Schizosaccharomyces pombe: one gene and its partners. The protein of the gene in region 3 interacts with the protein of the main gene of each other region in a biochemical or structural test. Each region holds a gene or a part of one and is shown on either strand. Other genes may lie near its edges. The genes, in order: cul1, ned8, nep1 and cul4.

The links.
Region 1: the proteins of nep1 (region 3) and cul1 form a complex in vitro, tested with the Schizosaccharomyces pombe proteins (one study listed by BioGRID).
Region 2: the proteins of nep1 (region 3) and ned8 form a complex in vitro, tested with the Schizosaccharomyces pombe proteins (one study listed by BioGRID).
Region 4: the proteins of nep1 (region 3) and cul4 form a complex in vitro, tested with the Schizosaccharomyces pombe proteins (one study listed by BioGRID).

What each region holds. Positions count from the first base shown.
Region 1 is NC_003424.3:3,609,117-3,615,835, forward strand, and holds cul1 (cullin 1), read left to right. Parts: upstream 1-2,940; 5' UTR 2,941-3,007; coding exon 3,008-3,075; intron 3,076-3,120; coding exon 3,121-3,207; intron 3,208-3,305; coding exon 3,306-3,370; intron 3,371-3,481; coding exon 3,482-3,558; exon of another isoform or gene 3,559-3,760; coding exon 3,761-5,767; downstream 5,768-6,719. Other genes in the region: ghs2 (glucosidase), read right to left, coding at 1-623; protein slt1, read left to right, coding at 6,510-6,719. UniProt on the Schizosaccharomyces pombe protein: Core component of multiple cullin-RING-based SCF (SKP1-CUL1-F-box protein) E3 ubiquitin-protein ligase complexes, which mediate the ubiquitination of target proteins.
Region 2 is NC_003423.3:2,318,518-2,323,030, reverse strand, and holds ned8 (ubiquitin-like protein modifier for cullin Ned8), read left to right. Parts: upstream 1-2,735; 5' UTR 2,736-2,774; coding exon 2,775-2,792; intron 2,793-2,840; coding exon 2,841-2,858; exon of another isoform or gene 2,859-2,929; coding exon 2,930-3,042; exon of another isoform or gene 3,043-3,092; coding exon 3,093-3,180; 3' UTR 3,181-3,273; downstream 3,274-4,513. Other genes in the region: SPOM_SPBC24C6.03 (proline--tRNA (Pro) ligase), read right to left, coding at 1-7; ATP-dependent RNA helicase Spb4, read right to left, coding at 699-2,484, 2,614-2,648.
Region 3 is NC_003423.3:3,301,289-3,307,072, forward strand, and holds nep1 (NEDD8 protease Nep1), read left to right. Parts: upstream 1-3,246; 5' UTR 3,247-3,548; coding exon 3,549-3,576; intron 3,577-3,656; coding exon 3,657-3,711; intron 3,712-3,785; coding exon 3,786-4,965; 3' UTR 4,966-5,265; downstream 5,266-5,784. Other genes in the region: U6 snRNP-associated protein Lsm5, read left to right, coding at 16-40, 142-265, 312-378, 427-453; psl1 (pho85 family cyclin), read left to right, coding at 2,018-2,749; synviolin family ubiquitin-protein ligase Hrd1, read right to left, coding at 5,266-5,784. UniProt on the Schizosaccharomyces pombe protein: Protease that catalyzes two essential functions in the NEDD8 pathway: processing of full-length NEDD8 to its mature form and deconjugation of NEDD8 from targeted proteins such as the pcu1, pcu2 and pcu4 cullins and other proteins.
Region 4 is NC_003424.3:3,450,451-3,456,916, forward strand, and holds cul4 (CLRC complex subunit, cullin 4), read left to right. Parts: upstream 1-2,494; 5' UTR 2,495-2,605; coding exon 2,606-4,810; 3' UTR 4,811-5,297; downstream 5,298-6,466. UniProt on the Schizosaccharomyces pombe protein: Required, indirectly, for activation of ribonucleotide reductase through the degradation of the protein spd1, thereby supplying deoxyribonucleotides for DNA replication and repair. Also has a role as a scaffold for assembling ubiquitin ligases.

The DNA of each region.
Region 1 (6,719 bases), on a different chromosome or scaffold from region 3:
GTAATACCAGTAACACGAGTACTAGCAAGTGAGTTATGGCCCGTGTATGTAAGAATGGGTAATCCAATAAACAGCATACCTGTCCCAGCAGCTAAAAAGAGAAGAAACAAGAGTTGCATTAATCCTTCTCCGCCTACGAAATAACTTAACTTTTTAGCATCTTTAGCGGGCAAAGGATAATGGAGAAAATCGTCAATTTCTTTATCTTCTCTACTCAAAGAAAAGTCGGATTCACCAGCGGTAGGACCGGCAAAAGCAACAGCCTCCAGTTTATTAATATTTTCAATATCATCAACTATGCTATTGTTTTGAGGTGAGGTAGAATACATATCTGATCCTGCGCTATTTCCACCGTTAGGATATCTATTATATGTCTGAGAGCTGGGTCTAATAGAGAATCTATGGGTATAGCCACTAGCTCTTGTTCCGCCGACACCGGCTGCCAAGGCTGCACTGCTAAATGTAGCGTTGGAGGCATTGTTGTACAACAGACGAGTAGAGGAATCGGTGGGATTTGTGAAAGAAGAAGTACTGGTGTCTCTCGAAGCGTACATAGAACCAATCTCATTCACGTTACCATCCGAAGGGGTTTTGCGATTTAAATCGCCACGTACATTATACATGATAAATCCAACGAAACCAGTTAAATCCCAAGAAAGAAGAACAAAAATGAATGAAAAGAAAGCTTAGTTAAAGAAGATTTCGCGCTTAGACACGTAACCACAAAAAGTCTTCGCTGAGTTGTGACAGCAAATAGTCTTCAAAATACTTCCAGCAAGTAAAAAAAAAAAAAAAACGTTAAACAAAAAACAAAAAGAATCTAAAGGAAAAAGATGATGAGCCTCAATCTCGAGAACGAAAGCTAATTCACTTGAAAATTTTCCTTTTTCTTGTAAAGTGCTCGAAAGCACTTTTCGCGTAAACGCACAAAGTATTTAAAAAATAAATACAAAAGAATGAATACTTGTAGCGATTTTGGAACGCTGGTGTACCTCACCAAGGTGGAAATACGGAAAGGTAGTATATAGGACTAGGCAAACTCCAAATGGTTGTTTGCGGACAATAGCGAGGCAAAGTCGGCGGAAGTTTAAAAAGACTTGAATGAAAGAACAACTAGGTATTCTTTTTACAGATTAATAAAAGGAACAGGATTTTAAAATGGATAGTTAACCTTCCAAGTGTTGAAAAAAAAATTAAAAACAAAAGCCAAATTAATGACTTAAAAGTCCAAGTAACTTTTTTGAAATAAAGTTTGGTCAGTTCATAAAACAAGTATTTTCTTTTTTTTTTTTTTTTTTTGAGAAAAAAGAGGATTTGTTTACAGAAAAAAACAGGAAAGCAGAAAGACAGCGGTTTGAATAGCACAAGCTGAACTAGCTTATTTATAACGAAATTTTAAGTAAATACTGGAGACAAAGGTTAGTTATCCTCCCCCAATAAGATAACTGAGAAAAAGTCGATTAAGATAAAATTATGGAGAGAGAAATCAAAAGAAAGAAGAAAGGCCTAAAATAATAAGAAGATTGTATAATGACTATGGATTACTACTTTAAAATATATCTCTTAATATCACAGTATATAAACACTCTTGACTATTAGTGTGGAAATTGATGATGGATTGCAAAGAAAAGATGAGCGGATAGTTTCTAGAAAAAATTTTGGAATTCAAAAGACGAAGCAGTGATGTAAATAGCTTTTTTGCAGAGTTTCTTATGTTGAAATTGAATAATTACATAGAAACTTGAAGGTTCAAGGTTCATAAAAACGGAGAAAATGGGATATAATAGCAAATAAAAGAGAGAAACAGATATTATGTTTGTTTTTTAGAAAGAATCTCAACAAATTACAGATATTTTGATTGTATTGGAATACTAAACAAAAAAATATGTAAGTAAATAGTCAAGTGAGCAAAGTAGAACAATGCTGGCCACGCGTTAAAGGGGGAAAGGTGGTTAGCGAAGAATGGAATGTTTTCAACTCATTATTGCCATTCTACGAATATAAAAACACCTAAATTGTAAAAAAAAATAAAAAAAATAAAGCAAGCAAGTTTAAGTGATAAAGGAGGAAGCTAATTAGTTATGAAATTGAGAATAATTTTTGGTCTTATTCAGAATTAATAATAATTCGTCTGTTCCTAAGTGAATATAGAAAGCAGACTCCAAACGTGCGTATCCAAGCGCATTCTATTACTTTTATTTTAGTAGGTAAATGATAAAAAGTTCAATTTGAGGCCGCTTTTGATGCATCAACATTTTGCGACAATTTTACTTAGGAATTGGCTACCGTTAACGGCACTCAGAATTGTTTGAGGATGAGGCTCTGATGGTAAACAATAGATGGCGGTGCTCAAAAGATGGTATGAAGAGGTAATTTGTAGCGCGTTTGAGAAAGAGAAGGAAAAGTATTTCTGTTTTACAACATCTATGAAAGAGCATCCTGTTATGTTGGCCACATTGAAAATGTCAACCTATTTGAGGTCCAAATTAAACCCTTTTCAACATTTGTAAATATTTCATGGGTTTGAGATTTTCATTTAGTACAATATTACTATACACTTGTCAGAGATATCTTTTACACCATATGTGTATTTGCATCGAGCACTCAATATCCAGCGGATCGCATACATCATTCTTTTGGCAGAACAATAACTCAAATTTAAAGGATTTCTTTGGCATATTCATGTATATGTTGATAAATATTGGCTTTATGTCTTTGTTTTCATAATAATAAATGCGTTAATGAAGAATTTTTTAATATAATAATTATTTACTTAAAAAAAAATTAGATATTAAATATAATCTTATAAAGCACTTTTATAATGAGCTTTTGCTACGTACACCTGGCTACCTCTTGTACCTTCGTTCACTTCGTCGTTACCTGTAGGTTCTTGAAAGGATCAGTGCTACTATTTACTACGTTTACTCTATCTGCCATCTAAGAAAGAGCAATTGTGTGCTGAATAAAATATATTTTACTTGTTATACATTTATAACCATTTTGGTTAATGACTACTTTGAATACCAACGATAAAGACCTCCCGATTGTTAAAAAATATGATTCATTGAATGGAACGTATGTTACATTGTAACTGATTGACGATTGCTGATCTATATGCAGTTGGGACTTTTTAAAAACAGGTGTGTCCCAAATATTTGAAAGGCTAGATGAAGGAATGACTATCACTAAGTATATGGAGCTTTATACGTAAGTTAGTCCAATATTTTGAGATCTGAATACTAGTATATTAGTTATCAGATATTTCATGGCACCTATATTTATATACTTACATACTTTATTTTTAGAGCAATCCATAACTACTGTGCTGATGCGTCCAAAACTATAACGGTGGACAATTTCAACGATCAAAGTACGTAAAAAATAGATAAAAATTTATATTTTGACTCAGAATTTGTCAAAAAGAAGAACTACATATATTTTCTTATGATTATTTTCACTGGATTCTAACTGTATGTGCTAGCTGCAAACGTTTTAGGCGAAGCCCTTTACAATAATTTGGTTCTATATCTGGAAGAGTATTTGGCCCGTCTGCGAAAGGTGAGTTTAAATATCGGTTTTTTATTTATAATTCTACGACAAAGATTTCATTGCACCTCGAGTGTTCAGCAGTTTTCTTTAATTTCTAAACATTTTCTCTGGACATTTTAAAGAGTGCTAGCATAAGCATCTGGTCTTTTATTATGATTAAGGAATAAATTGCATTATGTGGTAATTTTTCTCGTGCTAATTGGCGCTTTAGGAATGCATTTCGCAAACGAATCATGAAGAGCAACTCGCTGCGTATGCCAAGTATTGGACGCGATTTACAACATCTGCCCGTTTTATCAACCATCTTTTTGGATATTTAAATAGATATTGGGTTAAACTGAAGAACAGATTTACTGAGACACTCGTGTACGACATTTACACACTTTGTCTTGTGTCATGGCATCATCACGTTTTTTCCCACATTCGCGATAGCCTACTTCAAAATTTGTTATACATGTTCACCAAAAAAAGATTATATGAACCTACTGATATGAAATATGTGGAAGTTTGTGTGGATTCTATCACTTCATTGAGCTTTGATAAAACCGATATGACAAAGCCTAACTTGAGCTCATACAAAACTTTTTTCGAAACAAACTTTATTGAAAATACAAAAAACTTTTATGCAAAGGAGTCTTCCGAATACTTGGCTTCCCATTCTATTACGGATTACTTAAAAAAGGCAGAAATAAGACTAGCAGAGGAGGAAGAGCTTGTGAGATTATATTTGCATGAATCCACATTGAAGCCGCTTTTAGAAGCGACTGAAGATGTACTAATTGCACAACATGAAGAAGTTTTGCACAACGACTTTGCACGCATGCTCGACCAAAACTGCAGTGAGGATATCATTCGCATGTACCGATTGATGTCTCGAACACCTAATGGGTTGCAGCCTTTACGCCAGACATTTGAGGAGTTTGTCAAGAGATCAGGCTTTGCTGCGGTTGCCAAAATTGTTCCCCAGGTCGGTGGAGAAGCCGATGTGGATCCTAAAGAGTATATGGAAATGTTACTTTCCACGTATAAAGCTTCCAAAGAACTTGTTAACACCGCATTTCATGGGGATACTGATTTTACAAAGTCATTGGATACAGCCTTTAGAGAACTTGTCAATCGAAATGTTGTTTGCCAGCGCTCTTCCTCTCGCTCCCCAGAGTTGCTTGCTAAATACGCCGACAGTATTTTGCGAAAAAGCAACAAGAATGTTGACATTGATGATGTTGAAGACTGTTTATCGTCGATTATCATTATTTTTCGTTATGTCGAAGACAAGGATGTTTTTCAAAACTTTTATACTAAGCTTTTAGCCAAGCGACTTGTGAATGGTACCTCTAATTCCCAGGATGCTGAATCTAGCATGCTATCTAAGTTAAAGGAAGTCTGCGGTTTTGAATATACTAGTAAGCTACAGCGTATGTTTCAAGACATCTCCTTGTCTCAAGAGATTACCGAAGCGTTTTGGCAACTCCCTCAGTCACGTGCTGGAAATATAGATTTCTCTGCTCTTGTACTTGGTACATCGTTTTGGCCTCTATCTCCCAACAATGTGAACTTTCATCTGCCAGAGGAATTAGTTCCTTTGTATGAAGGATTCCAAAACTATTACTATAGCTGCCATAACGGAAGGAAGTTAAGCTGGTTGTTCCATCTCTCTAAAGGAGAAATAAAGGCACGCATTAACCCTCAAACTAATGTCACTTATGTGTTTCAAGTTTCTACATATCAAATGGGTGTTTTGCTTTTGTACAACCATCGCGATTCTTATACATATGAGGAGCTGGCAAAAATAACTGGGTTAAGTACAGATTTCTTGACAGGGATTCTGAACATATTCCTAAAAGCAAAGGTGCTTCTCCTTGGCGACAATGACAAGCTTGGTGATCCTAATAGCACATATAAGATCAATGAAAATTTTAGGATGAAAAAGATACGGGTACAGTTAAATCTCCCAATTAGATCTGAGCAAAAGCAGGAATCTCTGGAGACTCATAAAACTATAGAAGAAGATCGAAAGTTACTGCTTCAATCCGCTATCGTCCGTATCATGAAGGCTCGCCGAACATTGAAACATGTAGTGTTAGTGAAAGAGACTATTGATCAAATTAAAAGCAGATTTACTCCTAAAGTGTCTGATATTAAGCAATGTATAGATATGTTAATCGAAAAAGAGTACCTGGAACGCCAAGGCCGCGATGAATACATTTACCTTGCTTGAGAGAAACATCTCCGCGAAATGCTCCAAAAAAAATGATATACTTTTCGAGTGTTATATATGTAATTAATCACGCAATACGAATTTTCTTTTTTCTTTTGTTTACATTCTTGTCTGCTAGTGATCTTTAATCCATTGAAACTAAGCTTTTAATAACGTAGGAAAGTCACCACTCCATTGAAGAAATGTGTAGCTTAGCTACATGCAAGCTATGCAACTTTTTTTTACTACTAGTTACTGGATAGCAACAACAAACTTCTATTATCCCATCATTTTACGTGGATAAGTCGTACAATGAAAAAGAAAAGAAAACAGTTATCGACCACATACATGCACCATTTCACGAAGTACAGATGCTTGAAATTGTGAAAGGATGTCAAAGATATGTTTTATATAATACATTTATTGTCAATTGTCGTCTTCGTCTTCCTCTGCAAATCGCTTGATTCTGTTAAAAAAGACATATATTGATTATTCAGCACGAAGAACGAAATGGTGCTTACAAATTAAAAAAAATTAATTGATCAGACTAATTAAGGCAATTTTAACGTTTTTATTGATTTACTACTTCCAGGTGTTGCTGGAGTGTTCATGGATGAAATGGATGATTCCGGTACATTCCGGTGCCAACACCATAGTATGACATAAATGAGTAAACATCGCGGTTCGCTCATTCTTCTTCAACACACCATCTTCCTTGACATATCGTTCTGAAAAAAAATACTAGGAAGAGAATCGTAGCATAATGGCGACTTTATTTCATCTTATAGATGTACATGGTAATGAATATCAAAATGTGCAAGACCACAGCCTTCAAATGGCCTTAGAAGAGCTGAATCAACAAATCGAAGTGATTCAACGCCAAGAAGAACAATTGGCTTTGCGAAAGAAGGCAATTGAGGATGCAAGGCAAGAAGTGCTCCAGCAAATTCAACATCGAAAATTCCGTCAATAC
Region 2 (4,513 bases), 980 kb from region 3:
GTAGCATTTTTTAAACATGGTGTTTTTATACAAAAGCATATAAAAAATTTCAGAATCGCAAAATAAATGATCCAATAGAAGTAGTTTGTCAATAGTAATCGAAATAGGCGCTGGGTTCGTCCAAATAAATAACTGAGTTGACCTCCTTATTGCAATAAGGCTAGCAAAAAGTTAGGAATAGCCTACAGCACCCCGGATTCCCATGTTGTCTCCAACCATAGTACTAACGAGGCCCTCAGACGCTTAACTGCAGTGATCAGACGGGAACTGGTGTTTTCGCCTAGGTATGGCCGTAGACAGCACTATAAGTAATTAGTAAAATATATATATGATATCCTTAACCAGATTTTAGTAAAAAAAATTTGGAATTAATTGTGGAAATGTAATCTAAATTTATTGAATGTATCTACTGCTTCAGTTGCTTAAAGTATTTTACTTCTTAAATATCAAATTGATCGCAGAATTATGTGTAGATAAACGCTTAATTGCATTTTTCACAAATTTGTTAAGTAATCGTTGTAAATGTAAAGTAAATATACAAATGCAGTAATTCAAAAATAAATGCTGATGAATAAGAACTTAATATTTGCTGAACAACTCCAATTAATCTTCCAAGTTCTCAAATATTTAAAAATACTAAAAGACTTTCCTATATTTCCAAAACCCCGTTTTTTTTTCCATTCCCTAAAAATACATTGCTACATACTAAATCCAAAGGATGCTTGATTTTTTCTTTTTTTGCTTTTTTTCAACTGTCGGTAATCCTCTTCTAATTCAGATAAAGCATCCGATTCCTCATCTATTAAGTCATCGTTTTCCGTTTCTTGTGCTCCAGCTTTTGATACTATTTCTTGTTTCAGGTTATTAGAAGCTTCGTTTTTCTGTGCCTTCAAAAATTCTTTCTTGGATTTCCTTTTTTCACGTCGGGTGTTACGCTTCTCCTTTACTTCCTTTTGTTTGGACCAAGCTTCGTTCTTAATTTTTGCTGGCCGAGCTAATTTTTTGGGTTCAGTTTTTTCGACTTCCAATCGGCGTCGTCTGGCCTGCTCGCGTACTTGATCACGGTATGGTATGGTTGCATAATCAATGTCAAATTTTTTAAAAATATTTTCGGATATTTCGGTGTCTTTTAACTCTGGCATTTTTGGAAGATGTAATAAAGCGTATGCCGTGGCCAACTGTCCCAAATCCAAATCTTTGATACGAAAAATAAACGACGCATGATGTTTTGTGTACGCACGAACATGTGAAACAAACGCTCTTAATCCCTTATCATATAGATCTCTGTCTTTGGATACGATTTTTCTCAATTCGTGGGTTAATACTTTAAGTCGTGAAAGATCTAAAGCTTCAATTGGAGTGTCTATACGAGTAATAGGTACCTTCCTAACCCTTAACAATTCCTCATATTCTTCTTCTCTTCCATCATTTAACAAAACTATTGCAACACCCGCTCGACCAGCGCGACCAGCTCTGCCGCATCTATGAGAAAAAGATTTCGGATCCAAAGGCGGGTCGAGCTGAAGAACAAAGTCAACATTTGGAATATCAAGACCCCGGGAAGCAATGTCAGTTGTAAAAAGAACTGTTTTTTTATTTGATTTCTTAAATTTTTCAAAATTACGTGATCGATTCGACTGAACTTGCTGTCCATGCAAAGCTACTATTTCAAACGGTAATTTATAAGTGAGAAAAAGGGAGTTAAAATATTCAACAGAAGCACAAGAAGAAAAAAAAACAATTGCTTTTTCGTATTCGATCGTACAAAGCAAATGTATCATACATTGTACTTTGTATATGGGAGGAATCACTAAAGATTGTATAGCTAGACTTGACGGTGTTCTTGTATCAATTTTTTTTGATGTAACTGTCACAGAAACACGTACGCTATTTCGAAGGCCAGCAATTTTTAAAAATGATGACACAGTGTCATTCATTGTTGCGCTAAACAACCCAGTTCGACGTTGTTTCGGAAGTTGAGATATAATGGATTGTAATGTACGCTGAAATCCCATGTCAATAAGGGTATCAGCTTCGTCTAATATTAGTATTTCCAAATGCTTACTGGATATATGAGAAAGCATTTCATTCAATCGACCGGGTGTACCAATCACCACTGAGGGGTTTTTTTCCCGAAATGAAGCTAAATCATTCGTGAGCGTTCCCTTTCCCCCAATATACATATCTGCAACGAGTTTTTTCCCTCCATCCAAAGAGTCTGGTTGGTACGCCAAAAGCTCTTTGGTAACATTGAATATCTGTGTAGCTAATTCACGAGTAGGTGCAACAATTAATGCACCCAAACCTGTTTCGTCCGTATCTCTACGAGTGACTTTATCGAAGCAAGGAAGTAAATAGGCCAAAGTCTTGCCTGAACCCGTTACTGCTTCAACTACCAGATCTTTATTTTTCAAAAATAATGGTATGGCATTAGCCTGAACGGGTGTCATTTTTTTAAATCCTTGAGCAGCTACGGCGTTCTTTCTAGTTTATGTTAGTGCTTGTAAATTGTTGATTTGACAAAATCCTGGTATCATTTAGATAATAAAAATTTTTGAACAGGTTAAACATGTAGCAGAACCTAAAATTTTTATTTTAGAATTGAAAACTTACAGCCATTTATCTATATTAATACTCTGAAAACTCATTGTCCCCTCTTTGAAGACCAATTCAATTTTTCGCGAGGTGAGCCAGAGGGGAATGCTTATAGGGAGAGAGAGGAACTGCTAGCGTTTAACCACAACAATTTCAGAAAAGCGTTTATAAAAGTTAGCATGCTTATCAAAGTAAAAGTAAGATAAATTTATTTCTTTTTTATGTATACTAATATATAATCATAGACATTGACAGGGAAAGAGGTTCGTGTTTTAAATGTTGAAAACATTTATATGCAGTTATAATTCATCTATGTTTCTAACCAAAATATAAGATCGAATTAGACATTGATCCAAATGACAAGGTTTCTAGGATCAAAGAACGGGTTGAAGAAAAAGAGGGTATCCCTCCTTCACAGCAGCGTCTGATCTACGCTGGAAAGCAAATGTAAGCACTATGGGAACATCCATACAATGATTCTAACAAACATCACGTAGGGCTGATGATAAAAATGCTGAAAGTTATCATTTAGAAGGAGGCAGCGTCTTGCATCTTGTGTTAGCTCTTCGTGGAGGAAGTTGCTAGTTGTTGCATACTTTATTTATAAAGAAAAATTATGTATAAAAAATCATACTTTTATTTAACGCTATAAACGAAATCTTTTTACTGTTTTACTAATACTAAGAGTAACGAAATGAGAATTGAGTCGCTTTATTATTGCTCTGTTTCATTTTATGTGAATCTATTGATTTGTATAAAAATATTGCTTAAGCTTTTCTAAACTTAAGACGTTTTGGTGATCATGAATTTCAGCGATAAGATTGATTACTTCTTGTTAATTTATGAGTAAAGTAGTCGTAAAGAGACGTTTTGCACAGAAAAGTCAATATATAACAACAATTGCTTGCGCATTCCCATCTGATATCAAAGTATATAAAGCAGTAGCATGCGAAGCAAAACTTCCTCAGTACAACATCGAATGTAATTACCATAAACGCAAAATCTCTAGTAAGACTAAAAGAAAATGTTGTTTAAATAAAACTAACTGCAAAATGCTATGTAGCAAAAACATGGGCTGTTGTGGGAATCGAACCCACGACCACCATCACCCTAAGATGGTATCATACCACTAGACCAAACGGCCACATTGATAGGGGTGCCACTTAAACATATATAAAGGAAATATACATGTAAATCTATATAAATTACATTTTTAAGGAGGAAAGTATAATCAATATGCTTATAAATTGCCATTTCAATGTATTGATTCTCATTTTTCTATTTAAGAAGTTTTAAATTTTTTTTGTTTATGAGAAAGTGACATCGGCTTTAAGGAACTGCTCTATTTAAAAGCAAGAGAGATTCATTTAATTATAAATAGTCTGCATAAAGCCAAATTACTATTATAAAAATTAAAAAAAAATGATATTCTTTCTTAATTTCAAATTAATTCTGATAACCGGATTTTCGAAGTTTTATGTAATCTTAAGATTGAAGTACTAGTTTTTATAATCGTGAGTACAAAAAATCCATCCAAAAATCTTTGGGCTGTATATTTAAGAACAAATTAAAGTAACTTTAGTTTAATCAACAAAGGTAAGGATTTATAAACTTCATTAGGTGTTTTTTAAAGTTATTAAAAAAAAAAAAAAAAAAAAAAAAATCTCTCAAATTGTTCGGCTACAGATTTTTTGAAAGCTTCTATTTTCCAATAAGGATTCTAATAAAATATAATAAAGAGGGAAAAATGATGCTAAATTATAATTTTTTTTATTGGTTTCCCAAATTTTTAATCTTTTTTTATTGAATTAATGTTGTAATAATTTAAAAAATATTGTATTAAAGAGTAATGTTTATGATCGCAACTAAGCACTTTTCTCCGCCTGGCGGTAGTTCTAGCTTACTAAGTGCTATAATT
Region 3 (5,784 bases):
CAATCCACCTCCACCATGTCGATGACAATTTTACCTTTAGGTATGTAGATTTATTAGTACATTCTAAATTAGTTTCATAATAAGAAAAGGGAAAAATTATTGATTTATGCCCTGGGTAAATCTGTTCATGCTAACAAGCAGAATTAATTGATAAATGCATTGGATCAAACTTATGGGTGATCATGAAAAGTGAACGCGAATTTGCGGGGACACTTGTTGGATTCGATGATTATGTGAATATTGTTCTAAAAGATGTTACAGAATAGTATGAAATATAATAACTTTAATTATCTTTGCTAATTTCTATGAAGTGATACTGTTACCGGCGTTACCGAAAAACACTCTGAAATGCTTTTGAACGGAAATGGGATGTGCATGGTATGTCAATGAAAATAATAAAGGAATTTTTGTACACTAACTATCTAGTTGATTCCTGGTGGAAAACCCGAATAAGTTGGTACTTGGCTATTTAACAGTCTTTTGAAGATGAAGGAAGAGTGATTTTTGTTATTATCAAACAAATGGAGATATATTGCACGCCAAATCTAGCTCATACTGTGTGCACTCCATATATGGTAAAATATCTAGACCCAAGTCTCACTTTTTACATTAATTGAACAACAAGCGTTGGTAAAGCCATGTCTTCGGATACGGTTAAATTTGATCGAGTTATTTAAAGAATTTGATTGCAAAAATAAGGTATTTTATAGGACTGGTTGCATGTTTCTGAAATGAGTGATTATTCAAAAATAAAGGCTTAATACTTCCATCCTCCATAATTTTTCCTATTAGTGATTGTATCTCAAATTATACTACCAAAATGAATTGTTATTTCAGATGATGTAAACTGTGTTAAAGTTAATTGTTTGAATGTAATCTGACTGTAGAAATTGGCATAAACGGGATATGCATAGCCTACGATGATAGCAATTTTTCTTCTAATTTGAAAGACAACATACTAAACATTGATTTGAGTAGCCTTTACAGGATCTTACTATTCAAGTTATCTCTTCCAGCCCATCTGGTTGAATCATACTGACTTTTTTTTGTTCATGTTGGCCAAAATGGGGATTTATTATGATTATACACTGGAAAAAGTATGAATATTTGTTGTTTATCATTAATATAAACTAAAGTGACTAACCTTGTTATTGTAAACTCAAAATTTTGAGAATTAGTATCTTCAGCAGTTTTATGAAGGAAACGAAAAAGTAAAATTAAAATGAAAACGAAGTTTAATACTTTGGATTTATATATCTCATCATTTATACATTTGGATTATTAAGAAATTTTTGAATCCTCTCTTCCCTTATCCCTAAATAGTTAGAGAAAAACGACAAAACTCAGCTAAAACCATTAAACTTTTTCGTTTTAAATTCCAATCTCGTTGCTTTTAGGACTTGACTTTTTACATAGATGAAAATCACTATCGTAATGCTTTTGCTTTTTTTCTTTGATTTCTTTTTTTTGGCAGATTACAGCCGTCTTTCAATATAAACGCTATATTACTACAGTCTTTGTAAATATTATCTACTTGGTGCGCAGGCCAACCCGATTATATACTTTGATTTAAATCCCATTTAGCCTTAGAATTTTCGTAACAATAGCTCTGGACTCCTAGTAAAACTGTATTGCTTCCTGTATATTTGAATCATAACTCTTTTTTTTAAAAATTAATCGATTTTGAATCAACTAAACTGATTCTTGCGAATAATACGGATTTTAAATTGAGATATAAAAAGTTAATTTATTAATCCTTTTACATTCATCTATCTACTTGAATCAAGAAAAAGTACTATGAAGAAACGCTCGTGATTTAATCTGCAATGTTTACAGTCGAGTTTGTTACATTTCACTAGTGCTTCATAAAAAATTAGCGATCTAAATAAGTGCACGCAACGTTGTATTCCGGTTGACAAGAACACGCAAGATTTCGCAATAACTTAAAGTCTAGGATTGGCGTCACAGACAGTAAAGACGTATTCGTCCATTTACCAAACATTTTTATAATAGTCCTATGTCCTTGGCGTTTACGCTTTTAACCTCAAAAGATAACACAGATGAAGATGAAGAACACTTGGAGCTTTCTTCTTTTAATCAAGAAAAGCTCTTGGAAATGATATCTGTGTTTCTCTCGCGTCTAACGCGTTTGAACGATAGCAAGCAGGAAGCTACTGAATCAGATCAAATACCATTATCTCCAACAAGTTTAAAGAACCCTTGTTTGATATTTTCTGCAAAAAATGTGCCTTCCATATCTATTCAGGCTTATCTAACACGAATCTTAAAGTACTGTCCTGCAACTAACGATGTATTTTTAAGTGTTTTGATTTACCTTGACAGAATTGTTCATCATTTTCATTTCACTGTCTTTATCAACAGCTTTAATATTCATCGTTTCTTAATCGCTGGGTTTACGGCCGCAAGCAAATTTTTCAGCGATGTCTTCTATACTAACAGTCGCTATGCAAAAGTTGGTGGTATTCCCTTGCACGAATTAAATCATCTGGAGTTATCTTTTTTTGTGTTTAATGATTTCAATCTTTTTATATCTTTGGAGGACCTTCAAGCATACGGTGATCTTCTACTTTCATGGTATCGGCAAAATGGGCAGAATTACAACCCTACCGATGTTTCATGCTCTATTGAATCTCCCATTTCCCATACTCCGCAACAAAATCAACAAGATGAACAGCCACGTCGGCCCATAATGGATCGAAGGTTACTCTCTTCTCACTCAATTGGTTAAATTTACTACTGTGTTTGGTCCTCCAAATTTTTTTTTGCTTCCATCTATTTATCTTTATTTTCTGTTGAAAATATTTAATCTGATTATTTAAAACTTGGAAAAGTTACCTTGGTGCCTTTTGTCTGTATATATATATATTTCATTCTGCTGTGTCAATGTGGATACGACTAGTTTCTGAATTTTCAAGTGGCCTTTAAATTTTGTACTTGTATATGCTATTTCTCCTTTGTCTCTTATTTAATGTTTTTATCTCAAAACATGCCGTTTCATGAAATTCTCATTTATTACATTCGGATTATCTGACTTGCAATAAGGTTTTTGGAATTTGGAAATTGCATGCTACTTTTGTATTCGGTATTCTACTTTACGATGCTTACAACGCTTACGGTATATTGTGCTTTGGTTCCTTGTTTAAGTTAAGGCTGTTGTAAAGGTCCGCTATGATCAAAGTCCTTAGCTTACTCCGCTATCCCTGTTCCATTTGTTCCTTTCTCTTCACGTTGCAATTTGTTTATTTCTGCCGCCTACTCTGCAGTTGTTTTTTTTTATTTTAATTAAGCCGTCCAATCCTGTTTGTTTATTGAGCCTTACTTCTGTTTGGTATAGGAACGCTGTATTCCCGGTCTCTGGTTCCGCTTTCAATTCTCGTGATTTTTTTGTTTGTTTTAACCCGATAAAATAAACATTTTATTTTAACACTCGTGTTACTCTTCCGTTCGAGCTGTTTTGTTTGCGGACCTATTGTTTGTTTAAATTCCTTTTTTTCCCCATTTCGTACTTACTTTTAAACAATTTTTAAATGAGCAGTTCTCCAACCGTTCTTGAATGTAAGTTTACACATATATTGTGAAATCTCTGTCTAGAAGCGTTTAAGTTTGCTGAATAAAAACTAACTTGTGCTATTAAGTATTTGATGTGTGTTTTAAGCAGGAAGACGTGGATAGCTTAAAAAAGCCAAACTGGTAAGGAAATTTGGATACATGTTTTACTTTTACTTTGTGCATCTGAAATGAATCTTTCAATTAATACAAGCTAGGTTCACTGATGTGAGTATTGATTATGTTGACGAGTTAATTGAGCACCTATGGTTTCCCTCATACCCAAATCAAGCTAATGAAATTTTGCTGCTTCGCCCTTCGTTAGTTTTTCTACTAGCAGAAGCTGCTATTTCTCCTGAAGAGCTCAAAGTTGCTTTGCCTAAAAAGTTAATGAACTGCAAATATTTATTTATGCCTATCAATGATTTGGATAAACATGCGGCAGGAAGTGGAGGTTCACACTGGTCTTTAATGGTCGCAAGTATTCCTGATGGGCAATGTTACTATTATGATTCTCTCAGCAACGGAAAGACAAAAGATTGTCGCAGTGCCTTGGCCCGTGTTTCGGATCTTTTCAAAAAAAAATTTACAATAGAGTGTATGCCCGTACAACAACAAAGAAATGGATATGATTGTGGAGCACACGTTTGTGCTTTTACCCTTGAACTGGTTCGGCGTTTGTTACATTCACCGATGCCCACTAGCTCTATGTGGAATTTGTCTACATTTCAGCCAGATGTAACAGCTATTCGGGAGCAGTTGAGCCGTTGCTTAGACCATATAATTAACTCCTTGGGGACAAGGGTAAGCGGCGATTTTGACGAGGACTTTCCTACTGGCACTGTGTTTTTTGACTTAGAATCTCACCTTCCTCTTCTCGATGTTGCCCTCCCGGTTCTACCTAAATCATCCGACTCATCTGAAACATCACATGAAAGCTCTAACTCTAATTTGAAGAAGTCTTCAGAGTCAGGATCTACTAATCACCATAATAACCATGAAAGCGATAAGGACCTGCATCATGAAGGCCATCATCATCACCATCATCACCACCATCATCATCACAGTCATGACGATGACCCTTCCTCTCCTGCTGAGAAGAAACAGAATCATGTGCCTTCACCTTCTGAAAAGATACAAGATCATGTGCCTTCACCTTCTGAAAAAAAACAAGATCGTGTTCCTTCACCTTCTAACAACAAAGAAGATCATTTGCCATTACTCTCTGATGAGAAACTTGACAAATCTGCGATTGACAAAATTGAGCCTACGCCATTACCTTCTGTCCATATGAACAGTCATATAGCGAAGGGGGAGTTACCGAAATTTCATAATAGCACTGATAATCCTTTTCTCACTCCTCCGGAAGAACTTGTATCTGGTGATTTCCCTTTTTGATGCTACACTTGCGTTGTTTAGTTTCGAATATACAAACTAGCGGGAAGGCTTGTTTCAACTCAAACAATCTGAGTTTTATCCTATCTTGTGATGTGAATGGTTGTGTAATTTTTATCAGCAGTCGCTAAATCTTTTGCTGTTTACAAATATGTTATTATTATCACGAGTGCAATAATCGTTTGCTTAATTATTGATTGAAAAATGTTTATACAAGAGAAATTATTTATTTATTAGTAAATGACTTATCACTTCTTTATTTTTAGGTCGTTCATTATTATCAAAAAAGTTTGATAGTAAATTTCAAAAATTTTCATCCACAGTTTCTAATTGTACATTTCGTGAGTTTTGTCGATCTTCATCAGTTGCAAATGGGGATGTTTGATCTGAACTGGTTAAGATCGATGATTGATTGTCGTTCGTTGTAATGGAAGTCTGCGTATTCTCAAATCCTTCAGTCCCACTCATACCATTGGAATTTAATAGTGAATCAGCAGAAGTAGTTTGTATCCTTTCATTAATACCACTTGCAGCTTCTAACTGATTTAAAGATGTACGTATACTATTGTAATCAGCACGAAAGTTAGAAACCGTTTCTCGTAATTCATCAATTTTGGTATGAAGTTCACGAAGCTGAGAAGATATATTAGATGAAGCAGCGGGAAACGTATTAGACGTTTCATTCGACTGTGTTAATCCTCTACTCAATGGTACAACGTTGGGTAAAGAGGAGCCAAGATTATTATCTGCTGATGATGCGTTTTGATATAAAGATGTCATTGCTGAGTTGGTAGATAGAGATTGAGTATTGCTAGATACTAG
Region 4 (6,466 bases), on a different chromosome or scaffold from region 3:
GGCCTATGATTCTCAATAGAACTCTCAATATGTCCAAGAGTGGGTTCCCTTTGTCTTTCGTCGTCCGGCTCATGTAAATTACGTTGAAAAGTATCATAGGAACGTCGTAAGAAACTGCGAAACTTGCGACCAAAACTTTTTGCCTTCGGATCCCCTTGAGCGAGTTTTTCATCAATTGAAGGTCCATTTGCATCTCGAGAACTGGTATGCGAAATAATGTTTCCTTGAGAATCTTCAACGACCAAGTCTTCGCCAATAAGATATGTCTCGTCACCAGGATTCATTTCTTCTTCTCTATCTTCCTCATTCGAGCGGCGAGGTTGCCGAGATTCATAGTCTTCAGAAGGAAATTCTTCAGCGTCATAGTGGCCTCCGCGTGGTGATTCAGCACGTTCTTCCCGTAGATGTGCGGCTTCAGGAAGCGAGACAGTTGATATATCAGCATCCTCATCTTCTTGAATGTTTACAGGATGACGCCTTCTTATGGAAGAAGCAATAGAGTTGGCAGAGGAGCGCAACGCATCAACTCTTTTAATTGGTAAGCTTTGTCCTTGACGAACACGAGGTAAGTTAAAAGCAAAATGAGAGTCCCTTGTTCTCGTAAACGACAAAGCCAACGTATTAATCCTTTTACCAAGCATGAAAAATGCAATACTGCTTCCATGAACAATGATAGAACTTAGAACCAGGAAACAAACTACTGGCCACATTACTTGTATGCAATACCAGTTTGGAATTTCAGGGTTTTCGATAGCATCATTAGGCTCAGGTACAGTGCTATGTACTTCTAATTCGGCTCGTGCAACCAAACAAGTATACAGTGCACCTACACCAATAGGACCAAAATGACCAGCAAAGAGAGCTTCTCGCCAATTGATAATATCAGGAACAAATGATTTAAATAATAAAACGGCAGGAATTCTCCTTGCAATTAAAATACATATAGCCAATACAACGAGTCGCCATACACTCAAATCCATATGTGGCATGTGAAATTGAGGCCAGGGCATGATAGCACCCACGTATACAAAAAAGGAAAGATTGAGAAGAAGGTCGATAACGTTGGAAACATGAGATTCTTCTGTTTTTTTCGAAAACCATGAGTCCCAAGAGAAAGCAGCACCAGCACAAAAAGAAACTAACAAATCATCGACACCAATGATGGTACCAATACCACCACAAAATAGTGCTAAAACGAAGTAGAATACAAGAAAACTTTCACGATCCATTAATCCTCGACGTTCCGAAAATTTAATCATCTTACGGGCTATTACACCTATTATTGCACCTAGCACACAGCCAAAGGTGCATTCGTATAAAATAATGATACATACCCAATCGCGGCCAGCATGTCGGGCAGGTTTCTCAATAATTAAATAAATAGCTAAATACAGAAAAGGAATTGCCATGCCATCATTACATCCAGATTCGGCCAAAAGCATGTTCCTAAGATGACCTGGGACTCGACGTGCAAATTTACCTTTACCGACAATAGAAGAAGCCAACACTGGATCTGTCGCAGTAATACATGCCGCTATAGCTAATGACTCCAGAAAAGAGAGTCTGGGAATTAAAGCATACATGAAGCCAGTACTTACTAGCCATCCAAAAATCATAACAGGCAAAAGCATAACAAACATACTGCGCCAATGTCGAAGCATATATGCTCTTGGAAGTTCAGCGCCAGCTGCAAAAACTTCGACAACTAAAAGGACTCGAGCAAGTTCCTCGGTGATGTAGTCGGTATTACCCCAGCTGGTGGGAACAAACAGTTTTGCAACGTAAGGACCAAAAATGAGACCCGTAGCAGTTGCCATAGCTATATTAAGTTAGTATGCTTCACATATATGAAGAATTGAAGAGTAAAAATAATATGGTGGAATATGCACACTGAAATATCTAGAGATCGCTCTTTATTTAACGAACGTAAACCGAAAGAATAATCTGGAATTACTACCAGCTAAATCAAACAATTCAAGTATCGTTTCAACACGCAAATCAAACAATTGTGCTTTGCAACCACTAATAACTTACTTGCTTCGCCCAAAAAAAGCTTTTCCTTAATAATTAAAGAACATAACATAAATAATGAAGTAAATCCTCCTATAATAGCATATGCTAGATGTGGTTTGGAAATCTCGACTTGACTCCATGCCATTCTCTTTCCAAGTCAACCTGACCTTGTAATTTCAAACCTATATAAACAAAAAGACAAATAAAAAACTTTATAGAAACTATAGAGAAGCTAATAGTTTACTCAAGCACCCAATTGTTTCAACAACTGGCGTTCGTTGTGGATAGTGGAGGATAAACATGGAAAACAATAGTTAGCTAATTGCAATGAGTCGCAGCTTGAAAATCTCTAAAAAACTGAAGAATTTCTAAAGTGAAAAAAAAGGCTTATTTAGTGAGATGGACACAAAAAAATAGCTTGAAAGTGAAATAGGAACTTCGTACCTTGTCTATATGTGCTGCTCTAAACCGACTTTTCTGAACGTCACTACTTGAGCACAAAATTGGTTTTTGCAGGTGAAACTATAGTAGTGAAAGAGCTCAGGCTTTCCACACATCTATTTATTACTTTTTATTTCACATTAGCACACCTATGCCTCCAGAAGCAAAACGTATCGTGGTTAAAGGCTTTGACCCACGAAAGTCGAGGCAAAGACAAGAGACCTACTATGTGACGATGATAGATCGTTTGAACATGGCTTTGCAAGTAGTGATGGCCGGTTTAGGCTTAAAAACAGGTTACCAAGAGTTATATTCGGGAGTCGAAAATTTAACAAGAGCGGATCAAGCATCTCGGTGCTTTAACATCCTACAACATCATATGTCTTCAGGAATCCAGCTTTTAAAGGATTCTGCGGAGTCTTTTATACAGCTTGAAGGGACTGAAACAGACACTAATGCATGCACCGTAGTAGTAGGGTGTTGGAACAAATGGTTGGAAAGAGTCGAGATTGTTCAAAACATATTCTATTACATGGACAAAACATTTCTTTCTCACCATCCAGATTACCCGACAATCGAAGAGCTGTCTCTGTCACTTTTTCGTGAAAAGTTGATGGCAGTCAAAAACATACAAATTCCCTTTTTGAACTCTCTTCTCCAAAGCTTTGAAAATTTACATAGCTCTAAAAGCACTGATCACGCCTATTTACAGGATGCGATGTTAATGCTACATCGCACGGAAATGTATAGCTCTGTGTTTGTTCCCATGTACTTAGTTATGCTAAGCCGTTTTTATGATACGGAGTCTAGCCAAAAAATTCAAGAGCTGCCTTTGGAAGAGTACTTGGAATATGCGATGAGTTCGCTTGAGCGGGAGGATGCCTACGTTGAAAAGTTTGATATTGTGCGCGATAAAAAGTCCATTCGAGAGACTGTTCAAAGGTGTCTAATTACTTCACATCTTGACACACTCACAAAGGGTATAAGTCAGTTCATTGAAAAAAGGGATGCCCATTCTTGTAAACTACTGTATGCATTACTGCAATTCAATCATGAAACCGAATATTTAATTCAGCCCTGGTCGGATTGCTTAGTGGACGTTGGTTTCAAGCTCGTTAACGATGAATCAAAGGATGATACTTTGGTTCAAGAGCTGTTATCGTTCCACAAATTCTTACAAGTCGTGGTGGATGAAAGTTTCCTTCATGATGAAACCCTTTCGTATGCCATGCGAAAAGCCTTCGAGACGTTCATTAATGGGGCAAAGGGATCTCAAAGAGAAGCTCCAGCTAGGCTTATTGCAAAATACATTGATTATTTGCTACGAGTTGGCGAACAGGCTTCAGGGGGTAAGCCTCTGAAAGAAGTATTTTCGGAAATTTTGGATCTTTTCCGCTACATCGCTAGTAAAGATATCTTTGAGGCGTATTACAAGCTGGACATTGCAAAACGGCTTCTCCTTAATAAATCTGCAAGTGCGCAAAATGAATTAATGCTTCTGGATATGCTTAAGAAAACCTGCGGTAGTCAGTTTACTCACTCTTTGGAGGGTATGTTTCGAGACGTTAACATTTCAAAAGAATTTACTTCTTCTTTTCGTCACTCAAAGGCTGCTCATAACCTTCATAGAGATTTGTATGTTAACGTCTTGTCCCAAGCTTACTGGCCCTCTTATCCAGAATCACATATCCGGCTTCCAGATGATATGCAACAGGATTTGGATTGTTTTGAAAAATTTTACCTTTCAAAGCAGGTTGGGAAAAAAATCAGTTGGTACGCTTCGCTAGGACATTGCATCGTAAAAGCCCGATTTCCACTGGGCAATAAGGAACTAAGTATATCGCTTTTCCAAGCCTGTGTCTTACTTCAATTCAACAATTGTTTGGGTGGAGAAGGGATTTCGTATCAAGATTTGAAAAAATCTACAGAGCTCTCTGATATCGATTTGACTCGTACATTACAGTCCTTGAGTTGTGCTCGCATTCGGCCATTAGTGATGGTTCCCAAAAGCAAAAAACCCAGTCCAGACACCATGTTTTATGTTAATGAAAAGTTTACAGATAAGTTATATCGTGTAAAAATTAACCAAATTTATTTAAAGGAAGAGCGGCAAGAAAATTCTGATGTTCAAGAACAAGTAGTGAGAGATCGACAGTTTGAGTTGCAAGCCAGTATCGTTCGAGTAATGAAACAAAAGGAAAAAATGAAGCATGACGATTTAGTTCAATACGTTATAAACAATGTTAAGGATCGGGGAATACCCTTGGTGTCTGATGTGAAAACTGCCATTGAAAAACTACTAGAGAAAGAGTATCTAGAACGCGAGGATAATGATATTTATACATATGTCACCTAATAGAGTATGCATTTGTTTTTTAATTGATTTAATTTAATTTTTCTGGTTATATGTTTATTCTTTTTCCATCCTTTTTGTTATTTGCTGGTGAATCTCCAGTGGATTTTTTTTCTCTATTCTCATATGTCGTTCATACACACACCTCTTTACCTGTCCGTGTCAAGTAATGCTATTGAAATCTGGAAACCAATTCAAGGAAGTCTGCACTGCTCTCCAATCAGTTTGGAAAAGGAACAATTCCAAAGTTCATTCTAAAATTGTACCTTGCATTTTTGCCTTCTACGAAAGTGTTCGCGCTAAGTACCGCATTTTCCAATGTAAGGATTAACATGGATGGAATGTGGTGCTGCTTATCACACTTATAGAACACCTTTATTTACAAAATCTAAAGTAAAAATTTAATAAATCTAATTAATTTTGTAAAGCCCAAGGTATTCTATTTTGGTTTTCCTGCCCATAAACACCTCTTATATTATTCATTATTTACATCTCTAAGTGACAGTGATGTGTGTGTTACTTGATGTAGATGTAGCTGAAACACGTGTTTGTTTGGATGTATTCAGAACCAACATCAAAACACTCCTATGTAAGCAATAAATTGAATAAGTTGAAGTATTTGGCGTAGGAAATTGGGACATTTAGCGTTATTGATTCTCTAAGCTTCTTGATCAGTTCTAGGTGAAAGCAAATAAACGGTATCTTCTGTTTTGTCCGTCACGAATTCCCTCATAAGAATGGAGTGACATAGTTAAAACGAGAAGGAATTTACCATTGATTCTAGTTTGCTTGATCTTCTTTGATTATATAACCTAGCTTCTCACCTACACATCTACCCCAGCATGCTTCTAACAGACTAAACACAAATCAAAAGCGATGCGCGCGCGTCCTGTCTTCATTAACGTTGTCTAAAGTGTATTACTGTATTATTAGATAACGCGGTTGGTATTTTTTGCTGTCAGATTTTGCGAGCTTGGTGTTAGATCACGTTATACGTCTCTTTATAATGACATGGCTCCTCTAGATGCAATGAGGGAATTTTCGGTTACGCCGCTGCGCATGCATAGAGTTTGTGAAAAAGTTGCACCCCACAATCCCCTGTGACCATGACTAAAGGTAGAACCTTTTTTGAGGTGAAGCAACTGTATATGAGTTTTTGAAACTATCGGTTTTGTAGGTGTTTTTGAGCGTCTCTATTTATTTACATTGCTAATCGAAGTCAAGAAACAACAATGTCCGGTATGTTGTAGCGGACGCGGCTGGAATCGCTGAATGGTCGCTCCCTCTTTCACAGAGGCGGGCCATGAATCGCTGTGCAGATACATGTCGTCAGCGTTACGGGAGTCATCATTAAAAGTCCGCAAACGGATCCGCCCGTACAATTTATCAAAATAGTCTCGCTCGTGTATTAAATTGTCGTTAAAATACCCTGTCCGACTTTGACAACTACCATTACACCTACCGCTCATTTTTTACCATTTGGCTGTACTGATTGATTACCTACAAGGATATCATATCAGCCTTTGGAAAATACGTTTTATTAAATCGACGCTTATCTGCGCAATCGTCGAGTGTATAAAAGGAGCACACTTACATAGCTGAGTACGCCGTAAGTGTTGTACTTGGTTTATTATATTTTTTTTTCTTTTTCTTTGTAGT